Daphnia pulex: one gene and its partners. Each later gene encodes a partner of the first gene's protein in a complex. Links are inferred from orthologs where the notes say so. Each region holds a gene or a part of one and is shown in the gene's direction. Other genes may lie near its edges. The genes, in order: exosome complex component RRP43-like, exosome complex component CSL4-like and exosome complex component RRP40-like.

Region 1 (4,166 bases):
CCAAAATGATGATGATAAGAAAGGTGTAAATAAATCAAATCAAATCGAGTTTGAGCTTGATCATTTATGGGTCGAAATAAAGCTCAACCATGACTAAAGCAATCGACGAAAGCTTTTGCGTTTTTAACTCGACCTTGGCAGCTTCTACTAACTCACTTTCTATAAAGTAAAGACGTCTTTGGTTCGGTAGCTATGTGCTGATTTTCTCTTTTATGAATTTTTTTTCCTCGGACGGCGAAGGTGTTGTTACATGCAAACTTAAAAAGAGCTAACGTCCCCGTCATCAATAAAGGGTTTTCTCAAGAACGACCATGAGGACTTTCCTGAATAACAGACAAAGAATGTCCTTGGGGTTCGATATGACTGAACACAGCAGACCTCGCCTATTCCACCCGAGGACGTTTAAAATTACATTTCGAAACCCTCCACCGAAAAATTTCAATTTCTACTCCATATTAATTCGCTAAGAGTATATATTAATCGGCCGGCGTATGCGACGGGAAATTTTATTTTAAGGCTGTTGCGGTACGCGCCTCATATTCTGAACAATAGCACTACACGCGTGTACTGTCGCGGGATTGCGAGAGATTCCATCCCTTGGATTTATTTTAAGAATGAACAGGCCAAGTGGATACAGTTCACTTTGAACTGTGGAATGTCACCTTTCCTAAGGTACTAAAACGGTACGCACGATTGAAAAATCATAACATCTAATGTTACTGATGGCATCTGTAGACATTAGTCCACAAATTGTTTTTTATTTCACGACATTTTTCCCTGACACCATTTTCACTCAAGCATTCTTTATGCACAAATTGTTTTGTAAAAAAATAAATAAGTAAAATAACTCCTGACTTGAGCTAGTTAACAGTTTACTAAATGAGGTACATAAATGAGGTTTTTGGATTTGAAAGGCAACCTACTAATTGTGCGATATGAACCGTTGTTGTACTGATTTTCGGTATTTTCCAAACTTTTTTACCTTTTGGGTTTTACGATATCAAGTTATCTTGTTCCCACAGAATTTACCGATTTTTTGCCGTCAGACAGAACTATTTCTGTCTACAACCCCATTACCATATTGATGCCAAAAAAGTTCATTAAATTCTAAAGGTGACCGGTATTTCGAGAGTCGAACGTTTTTTTCTATATATTTAGGAAAAATATCCTTCAAGTGTTATCTGCTGATTTTCTGCCAATCGGTTTTATTTAATCTCGCAAACAGGAAACAGCAGCAAACAGGAAGCAACTAAGCAAGTAAGCAACACACACTTTTTAATTTCTGACAACGTTGCTTGGCCATGCTTTTAGATTTTACGTCGTCTGCTACCTACTATTATTGTTTGAACCTTTGAAATTCAATTTGGTAGTGATGTTTCGTTAACGATAACGGATAACGTGAAAAGTCCGTTAACGGACCTTTTTTGGGGTTCGTTAACTTAACGGATAACGCTAACGTTTGGCATTTTTCAGACGTTATTTTCAGACGTTATTTTTGTTTTTAACAGCGCTGCCAAATATGAAATTTTTGGATTTTTCAAAATGAAATTTGTATTTTTTGCGCGCTTCCAACATTTTACTGTAGTAGGTTGACTATGAAAACGAATTTAAATAGCCAATGACAGTGAGCAGTAGTCTTCTTAGCTTCTCTGAGGTTTTTTTTTGCTTTCAAAACGTGGCAAACGAAACTGTATAAGTAGAGTAGGGAAACAACTAGAATCAGAGTGTAAATCTTTAATGTCAGATTCAGACTCTGATGCTCCTGTTGACGGTGAATAAGCGTGGCATCTGCGATGTTAGAAGATCTCGAAAGAAGATTTAATTTCATGACAGATTAAAGAGATCCTGATTTCGACTGCTCCTACCTTCTAGCCACTTCCCTCGACTGCATTGAAACTGAACTTTTAGACAACTTCCACTTTGCAAGTCATGAATTTGATCCTTCTAAGGATCCACCAGTTCAAGATGTGATCTCTTACTGGAAGGATTTGTCTGGTCGTTTCCCCTAATTATCCAAAATGGCCTATAATTTACTGGTTATACCAGTTTCTTCGGCATCATCTGAACGCGAATTTTCCATTGCCGGATGGCACTGTCTAGGACACAAAAATAGGACGGCGGAAGAAGTTTTGGCCGCAAAAGTCTTCCTCACTTGCAATAAGGATTTATTGAGGCCTTTACTTTTTTAGTTGGAACTTGTTTTTTTTTCTTTTGTCTGTGCGTTTATTTAATCCGCAGTTTCTGTTTTTTTTAGTTGATCATTGCTTCATTGTGACATTGTTCAACGCCAGCAGCAATTTAAATATAAGTAATCAAGACCGTGACTGATTTCAGTGATTTGATAGTGCAATTTTTTTATTAAATAACGGTAAAAATAACGTCGAATTTTCGTTAACGGAGACATTTTTAACGGCGTTAATTAACGGCGTTAACGAACGTGAAAAAATTGGACATCGTTAACTTAACGGATAACGCTAACGTTTAGAAAAAGCACTAACGAAACATCACTACAATTTGGTAATGAATTATTTCACTTACGTCAGTGTAAACTCAGTACTCCAAAACTAATATATGTTCTGTTTAATTACAATTTAGTGTTTCCGATTACGCATCACGTCACTGTATGCGTTGATTCTATTTCCAATACAAATTTAAACATGGCAACTGACCACAAGTAAGTCATGTTTTATGAAGTTTTTTTGCGGGCACTTTGATATCAACCTCTTAATTCAGAACACTGCAACCATTGGAATTTTACAAGACTTTCCTTGATCGCAAGTCACGCCCAGACGGTCGGAAACTGCTGGAATTCAGAAAAATGACTCTAAATGCTGGTTCCATAGGAACAGCTGATGGCTCAGCTATTGTCAAATGTGGAAATACTACTGTCATTTGTGGCATCAAAGCTGTAAAACACTCATAACTATTTTTTTCAAAAACTATTATCAACAATAATCTATCAAATCCAGGAACTAGCTGCTCCAGAAAGAGAGGAGCCTTCTAAAGGCTTCATCATCCCAAATGTGACACTGCCATCCTTATGTTCTTCACAAATAAAATCTGGCCCTCCTGGAGAAACAGCTCAAGCTGCTACCCAGTTTATAGCTGAATTAGTCAATAACAATATTATTATGGACTTGGAAACATTGTGCATAAAGGTTTCAAAATGGGCTTGGGTTCTTCATTGTGATCTACTCTGCATTAACCTTGATGGGAGTTTACTAGATGCTTGTGTGATGGCATTAGTAGCTGCACTGAAAAATTGTAATTCTATTCTAAAGTTTTATGTTTTATTTTCTATAATCTAATTCATTCACTGATTCATTACAGTGAAACTTCCCATTGTGAGTTATGATGAGGAGATGGACAAACTAGTTTCCAACCCAAATGAAAAAATGAGTTTTGACACAATTAAGCAGCCAGTTACATCAACATTCTCCTTATTTGATAAGTATGTGCTTAAAAAAAAAACATGAAGAAACTTCTATGAAATCATGATTTCTCATTATTTTGAACAGTGGTATTTTGATCAGTGATCCTACATTTGAAGAGGAGCAGTTGGCTGCTGGATTAACATCTATTACCATGGAGGGTACTTCAGTTACACATATGTATAAGCCAGGTAAAAAAATTTCTATGATGTTCTTAAATTTGGACATAACCTTCCCTTGACTTTACAGGAGGATGTACTTTAGATGAGAAACAGGTGAAAAAACTTATTCAGCAATCAGAATTGAAAACAAAGGAGGTTGCAAGATTGATTGAAGAGGCTTGTTCATCATCTATTGCTGAACGATGAAATTGTTCGTCATTCCTTGTTTGGTATTGAAAATAATACAGTTTCAAATGTCAGTTTCAATTCAAAGTTTTCTCAATCTAAATTTTTTACTTCATGATTAAAAACATTCAACTACTTTCAATTTTACGTAACCGATGTATTTAACTCGCGTGAGCTATCATCACAGGAATGATTCATACAACATGTTAATAATAATCCTGGAGGCACTAGCCGAAACAAGTAATTAACAGTATTAAAAAAATCGATACCAAGTAGAATATATAAATAGCCTGCATTAACCAACAGATAAGGTTGAATCTATTCAGAATTTTGAAATTGACAATTTTTTTTTACTGAACAGGGAAATAAACAGTCACAACTTATTTTA
Region 2 (2,986 bases), on another chromosome or scaffold:
TGCTATTTGATTGATTTTTATGAAAAAAAAATCATAAACATCCCTTCGGATACCTTGCTAATAACGCAGGTAGCTGACATCATATCGTGACATGTGTTTTTCGAAAAAATAAAATTTTTGTCATAAAATTTGTTTGTAATTTTACCCTATGCATCTTATTTTAAAAACCCAAACCAAACCTAAAAGTTTTACCATTAAGATTGTTCTTGGTTCAGAAAGGCTACCAATAGCCGTCGCCAGGTGGCGGTTTTAGCACTGACAGGGCAATAGCTCTCTATGGCTATTGCCCTGTCGGACCGGCATGGCAATAGATTTCACGCAATTTGCTGGGACATGGCAGCTTTGTCAGGGGTATGGAGAGAAAGGTATGGGGGTCTTTCCATACCCCTGGCTTTGTTAAACACACTTTCCGTACCATGTCGAGAGTAGGCATGGTCGAGAGTACTCAAGGCATCATCTTATTGGGTAAAATGTGGCATCACGTGACTTTTGGCAACGTCTATTGGGAGATTGACTGTGTGCATGGACTACTCTAATTAAGGACGGGATTCTTCGCCTATCCTGCCTTGTTAAAGCTAGTCGGGTGGGGTATTTTCATGAAAACATTAATAAAAAATATCATTAAATTCAGTTTTTTTTGCTGATTCCAACTATAGATATAAATCTTAGTGAAATAAACTAATCATTAAGATATTATAAATTTACTTTCAGAAGTAGGGGTAAAAGGATAAAACACCGGTGCCATCTAGCAACCAAACACCCTAAGCTCTTAAGAATATACGCTACAAGGTAAAATATAGTTAGGCAGCTATGTCAGAGGACTAGATAAGAGAGTGGTTTTTTCTTTCTCTCGGTATGCATGCATGGGCATCTGCTTGCAAACTAACAAGAGCTTAGGAGGTTTGGTTCCTAGATGGCACTGGTGTTTTGCCCTATTTCAAATTTTTCGTTAAGGAATTGGAAATATCTCTATAAAAATAAATGTTAGGTATAGGGCTCTTCGGGATCTGTTTTATTTAGCCGATTTATCTGGCAACGCAGCATGGTTCGAGACTTTTTTAGGGCGAGAACGGGGAGAAGAGGGAGAATGGGAGGACACCCTCCTCCCTCCCATTCCTCCCATCCTCCCTCTTCTCCCCGTTCTAGCCCTAAAAAAGTCTCGAACCATGCTGCGTTGCCAGATAAATCGGCTAAATAAAACAGATCCCGAAGAGCCCTATAGGAACATATGGTAATTCTATGATAATTTTTAAATTCTGATTCTGATTCTCCCACAAAAAAATTTACATGGCCGACATAGGAAACGCCGAAGAATATACCGTCCTTAATTAGAGTAGTTCATGCTGTGTGCACACTTAACGAACCCCACCCGTGAGCCGCCCAGCAGTCGACGTTTTTTTCTAACTTCGAAGTTGTTCTGGTGTGCGAAAAAAATGACGAATAAAGAATCAGACAAATGTGTAATATGCACTCCCGGTAATATTAAAAAACATATTTTTTTAGTTGTCATTTTGATAAAATGTTTGCATTTTTCAGGACAACGCATATGTCTGTCGGATAACCAATATATTGGAGGAGCCGGAACTTACACAAGACAAGGTTATATCACATCATGTTTAGCAGGTGTTGTTAAAGTAACTTCACAACCTGATAAGGTTAGTGGTTAAACAGTGAAATTAGATCAGTGAAACAATTCATTTGGTGTGAAATAATGAACTTCCGAATATTATGTTCAAACTTTTCTTCCTAGAGAATCCTGATAGAGGTTAGAAGTGGTAAAGAACAGACAGTTGTTCCATCTGCTGGTGATGTGGTTACAGGTACTGTTTAAATTATGTGTTGAATTTTGTGAATTTCATCTTAAACCTTTAAATAGCCAGAGTAACACAAATAAATCCTCGCTGGGCACGATGTGCCATTTTGTGTGTTAAGGACATTGTATTGGCAGAACCCTTTAGAGGACAGCTGAGGAAAGAAGATGTGCGTGCTACAGAAAAGGACAGGGTTGAAATGTACAAATGTTTTCGTCCCAATGACATTATTTTAGCAAGAGTGGTAATTATTTGATTTTGATCATTATTTCAACTGTAAAGTGAGTATGACTTCTAAGATGAAATTTTTTTTCATGTTGCTGTTAGCTCTCATTAGGTGATGCACATTCCTATGTTTTGTCAACAGCAGAAAATGAATTGGGTGTTGTTATAGCATACAGTGAAGAAGGTACTCCTATGGTTCCAGTAGGATGGCAAGAAATGCAGTGCCCAAAAACTTATGTTAAAGAATTGAGAAAAGTTGCAAAAGTTTCGCCAGAAACAATTTCAAACGAAAATGCAACAGGCGTCTAGATTATATTAATACATGAAATTTGACAACAAAGCTTTTCGGATTTTATTTTATTGGTGTTTTGTCGACTGCTTGCGTTTCTGTTCAATTCATTTCATTTTCTCCAAGTTCCTTTTTTCTAATCATAATTTATATTCTTATAGTTTTTTCAAGCATGTAAATAAAATGAGGAAACATCGCCAAGTGAAATGGAAAAATTTGCCGAAATCTCTAGCTGTCATTTTTATAATTGGGTATTTCAATTCCTAGCGAGTTCTTGTAATCAGCATATAGAAAACTACAATGTATCTTTTCTTTTTTATGAAGAGGAGGAACTACTCTGGCATACCAAATTCATTCTTTAAACCGCCGGTTTTCATCTTTATTGTCAGATGCCGCAGTTGAGAGAGAACGTCAAAAGGCTGGGTGCTATATTGCTATTCCTCAAACTGTAATTGAAACTGAGATTCATGCTATGACCTCTAAACTGAAAAATGTTGAACAAATGGTGGAGACTCTTATGAAGGGACCAACACATCTTGGTCTTGATTCAAATCCCTGGCATCTTCTTCGAATTCTTAAATCAGAACTCCCTTCTCATACTCAAGAACACTCCACTGCTTTAAAAACATTGGCTACTTCACATTATAATGGTATCTTCAAA
Region 3 (4,161 bases), on another chromosome or scaffold:
CATGGTATACATCTCTTGTTGGATGGCCTTTATTTGGTCCTGTAGGGTTGTCAGGTCATTCCTTGGGGTTGGCGGCGGTGCGGGGCGGTTGGTTGGGGTGGGGGTTCGATTGGTTACTGAGCTGTACAGATTTGCGTGGCGGGATCGAGCTTCTTGTATGGTGATTTCCTCCAGGTAGGCCATTTTAATAATGCTCTTCATTTGTTGGTATGCAGGGCATTGATCGCTGTCTGCTTCATGATCTCCGTTGTTGCAGTTAATACACCTTCTTGAGCATTCTTGGTGTGTCTCGTGTTGTTGTTTGCCACATCTTTTGCAGTTAGGGCCATTAGCGTTGCACCTGTTGGCGGTGTGGCCGAGTCTCCAACAGTTCCTGCATCTGTATGGGTTTGGTACCGATACCTTTACTGGGTAGCTGATTGACGCTATCTTGATCCTGTCTGGGACCTCTTTCAAGAAGGTAAGTGATACTGTTGTCGAGGGGGAGCCTGGTGAGTTGCGGATCGGGAGCCGTTTGACATGTGTCACGTGCTGGTCTGCTAGAGCTTCCAGAATCTCCTCCTCCGCGTCACTTATCGGGATACCAAAAATTACTCCTACCTTCCTCGCTGTTGACCGGGTGGGCAGAGTGCTAGATGTTGGTCTGCCTGCCAGGGTCTTGATGTTGAGTAGTACTTGTTGTTGTTGCAAGTCAGTAGGGCTGACGGATAGGTCGCCGCCTGGGAGTACCGTGGAGTCCCGGGGGTCCCCAATGGCTGTGCAAATGGCTTTTCGCATGGCCTCACGTTCTGCTAAGGACATTGATTTGAAGTTTGGACGGTCATCCATGAGTTTGATTATCACAGGGAGGGGGTGGTCTGTTGAGTTGCACGGTCTTTTCGAACGCGGTGGGGCATCACGGTCGGCCATTTTGTTGGTGGCACCTGGCGCGGAAATTGCTTTGACACGGGGGCCTGTGGGGGGGGGGGGGGGGGTCGCGCGTGTTTGTCTGTCGGAATAAAGCGGGGGGCGTATATACGGTGAGTACGTGAGTCTGCTGGCACTTTGAGAGAGAGAAGAGAATGCACGTCAGGTCTCTACGAAGGTGCAAGGCGAACTCCCTTCCTCGAGTTCTTTAATTAAAAAACAATCAAAACATGATCTACGTGTTATCTGGTGTAATCATCGCGTTTGGTTGCCATCGTTACGACTGTCATCTTCAAGTGCTTAACCGCCGCTTTAGCAGACGACAGCTGTAAACAAAAGCAAGGCCAAGATCAAAGACACTTTTTTTTTCCTTTTTTTTGAGCAGCCTTTCCTCTTTTTAGGGTAGAAGAATATATAATTATGTATTGATATACTAAATCTCAAATTGCATTCAAAACCTTATAGATTGGAACAAAGATTGGAAGCCTGGTCCATATCGCAAGACAGGTGCTTAAAGAAGTGACACTGCAGATGGACTCGGATATGGTGTGACTTAATTTTGATGTGTATTTTAAACAGGCAAGAAAAAGTGATCCCAATTTCATTGTAGATGATAAAACAAGCTGTAAAAAATGATAATGAGCCTCCTGCAATCTTTGAGGTGAGAGAAAATTTTGATGACATAAAAAGGGAGAGTGAGGAAGCAGCAGAAGATAACCCTGAAGGGAGCTCCAACGGAGATGAGAATGGAGATGATGATTTTAACTTGGAAGCATTCAATAAGGTTATAATTTTGATAAAATGTCACAATTATTAATGCTAAACGGTTTAGCATTAATAATTATATTTTCTTTACAGGAATATCCTGAGCTTAGTGACACAACACACCAAAGAAAATATGGATGTAAAGATGCTTGAAAGTCTTTTCATCACAAGAATGTTTTGGTATGACATATGAATATGTACTATGGGACCAAGCTAGCACCTGTGAATTGTGATACATGTGTGAAAACATTTTTAGGCAGTGATTATTTGCGACTTCACGTCATCCTGGCAACATCAGGGAGTGAAGCCCTTTAAATGTGACGTTTTTACGACCGATCCAACTTACGTCAACATACGAGATCACTGATGAAAAACTGGCCCGTCCGTAATGTCCGCACAAATACTTAAACTGTCTGAAAACATTTGACCATTCACACGAAAGAAAAAACATTCAGTGTGATACCAGTGGTGTGTAACCTCACAATATTTTTCTTCATATCTTTCTCAAGATTTTTAACTGTGCTATAATCAATTCGCAATAGTAGCGACGCAAGGAACAAGACGATTTTAATGTCTTATTATCATTTACGTGTTGAAATGTCAAATCTTGTTACTAATTTTCCTTTGTTCTAGGAGCTGGAAAAGATTTTCGCTAGCTGCTCTGGGTCATCGTCAAAAGTTGCCAATCCGGAGAGAGAGGATCGATTATTGAGAGACGATATGAGCTGCATGAAATGCGACCGAAAATTCCCTTTGATTGGAGCGGCTATCCAGCTGCGATGTTCTACAGTTTATTCTCCTCTTTTGAAAGGTAACGCAGTTCTCTTGTGTTAGATCAAACAGTTTTATTTGATGCCTTGTTAATAGGTCGTAAACAGCAGCAGCAGCAAAGCCCAGTTGTAGTTCCTAATAATGACGTGTCTGGGTCTGAATCAACTCCATCCTCGAGTAATCTTCCGGGCAGTGACGTCATCGTAGCATCCAATGAACCGTCTTCACCCACCATCAGCGGTAAGGAGGCTTCCGACACTTCGGAAGAAGGAAGTCGAGGTGGTTGTGGATAAAATCATGCGACTCGCTTCTATTAACAGTGAGCAGCCAGAAAAGTGGCTCAGTTTGGAAACAAGTTACCCGCTTAATCAACTAGTTAACATGTTAATCGTCATCGGTAACCGAGGTGTTGTTCTGAAGTTCGGAACGAGTTGGTCTCACCTCATTTTGCTTCGTGATCAAAGACGAACCAAGAACGCGTGACTCACTTTCTCACTGGTAAATCATTTTTATTGTGTTGTTCTTTTATTTAGCTAATATTCTGCGGTTTAGATATTCTTGAGAAATCCGGATTTACTGTTCCGCCGTTAAGGACGGTACTCATGGCGGATCAATGGCTGGCTTTGATTGGACTCCGTCAGAGGAGATCAGGACACTGTTTTGACGGGATCTGCGGATGAAGGTGAAACGGACGGTGTAGTGTAGGATCTACGAGGACGAGTACCCGATTCATGCCGGATAGCAATTCTCGCGTCTTCCTCTTTTGTGTAAACTGACGGGTCGAATGGGGCAATAGTAAGCAACAGAAAAATCACCAGCAAACGGCCAGTTATAGCAACACAGCCTTGATGGTCACAAGTTATCGTATGGTTTTAGTATGTGGTGATCCTCGTTGGCTGACGAGCCATCAAGTTCAGTTTTGAACGTGGGGTGGGAGGGGGAGAGGGTCGCTTCTCAGCCTTCAGCAACTTGTCAATCTCGTCTCTTTGGTAAAATGACGGCCAATATCTTGTCTATTTCACCTGCATTACATTTGGTTGTTTTCTTTATTCAGGAAAACTTCGAAGTAATCGTAAGCAAACCGGAACAGATCCGGTATTATTTTCTCGAATGGACAGTTTCTTTGGCTACTAGAGAGGCGGTTGATCAACTGGTGATTAAATTTTGATTCCCTCCTTTGTTTTGTCCCGTCTTATTATTAATCCTTTATTTATCCTACTAATGTTTTGAACATATTAGATTGAAGCTGTACGATATCGTTGGGAAGCCGTCTTCTCCGTTGAGCTGGAAATCAACGAGCTCGACGACTAACATCATGTAATATCCCCTCTCGATTAGACTTATCGTTTTTCTTTATTGTTACCTTGCTGTACATGAATTCTGTGTGAAGTGCAATTATTGTTTCAAAAGTGAGCCTTTTCAACTTGGAAGTCTAATTAATTACACAATGTGCATTCAGATTTCAGATAATAAGCAATTTATAATAAAATTATTATTCATGTATTTTTTTTATTACTGCTTTAAACACAAATTCACTAAGCATGTTTCCAGAAGGGTGACTTTGTTTTGGTATTCAAATATTTGTAAAGCTTTTTTATTCTAGAGTTCAGCGTGCCCCACTTTGTTGGATGAGTGAGGGGTAATCTTCTCGTTGCACAAATTTCATCTTGGGCAACAGGACCTAGAATTAAGTTTGAAACAACATAGTCAGATTTACTC

Evidence for each region.
Region 2: exosome complex component RRP43-like (region 1) and exosome complex component CSL4-like share a complex: the UniProt entries of both Homo sapiens proteins name them as parts of the RNA exosome core complex. The link is inferred for Daphnia pulex from reciprocal best matches to the Homo sapiens genes EXOSC8 and EXOSC1.
Region 3: exosome complex component RRP43-like (region 1) and exosome complex component RRP40-like share a complex: the UniProt entries of both Homo sapiens proteins name them as parts of the RNA exosome core complex. The link is inferred for Daphnia pulex from reciprocal best matches to the Homo sapiens genes EXOSC8 and EXOSC3.

Annotation. Positions count from the first base shown.
Region 1 is NC_060025.1:4,770,345-4,774,510, forward strand, and holds exosome complex component RRP43-like, read left to right. Parts: upstream 1-1,230; 5' UTR 1,231-1,366; intron 1,367-2,516; exon of another isoform or gene 2,517-2,595; 5' UTR 2,596-2,657; coding exon 2,658-2,674; intron 2,675-2,733; coding exon 2,734-2,908; intron 2,909-2,969; coding exon 2,970-3,264; intron 3,265-3,330; coding exon 3,331-3,451; intron 3,452-3,518; coding exon 3,519-3,622; intron 3,623-3,680; coding exon 3,681-3,799; 3' UTR 3,800-3,859; downstream 3,860-4,166. UniProt on the Homo sapiens protein: Non-catalytic component of the RNA exosome complex which has 3'->5' exoribonuclease activity and participates in a multitude of cellular RNA processing and degradation events.
Region 2 is NC_060026.1:7,115,961-7,118,946, reverse strand, and holds exosome complex component CSL4-like, read left to right. Parts: upstream 1-1,321; 5' UTR 1,322-1,340; coding exon 1,341-1,476; intron 1,477-1,536; coding exon 1,537-1,655; intron 1,656-1,750; coding exon 1,751-1,820; intron 1,821-1,876; coding exon 1,877-2,055; intron 2,056-2,138; coding exon 2,139-2,345; 3' UTR 2,346-2,374; downstream 2,375-2,986. Other genes in the region: protein SERAC1-like, read left to right, coding at 2,509-2,576, 2,650-2,975. UniProt on the Homo sapiens protein: Non-catalytic component of the RNA exosome complex which has 3'->5' exoribonuclease activity and participates in a multitude of cellular RNA processing and degradation events.
Region 3 is NC_060019.1:5,895,200-5,899,360, reverse strand, and holds the start of exosome complex component RRP40-like, read left to right. Parts: upstream 1-1,222; 5' UTR 1,223-1,308; intron 1,309-1,309; exon of another isoform or gene 1,310-1,371; 5' UTR 1,372-1,452; exon of another isoform or gene 1,453-1,690; intron 1,691-1,764; exon of another isoform or gene 1,765-1,851; intron 1,852-3,926; exon of another isoform or gene 3,927-4,123; intron 4,124-4,161. UniProt on the Homo sapiens protein: Non-catalytic component of the RNA exosome complex which has 3'->5' exoribonuclease activity and participates in a multitude of cellular RNA processing and degradation events.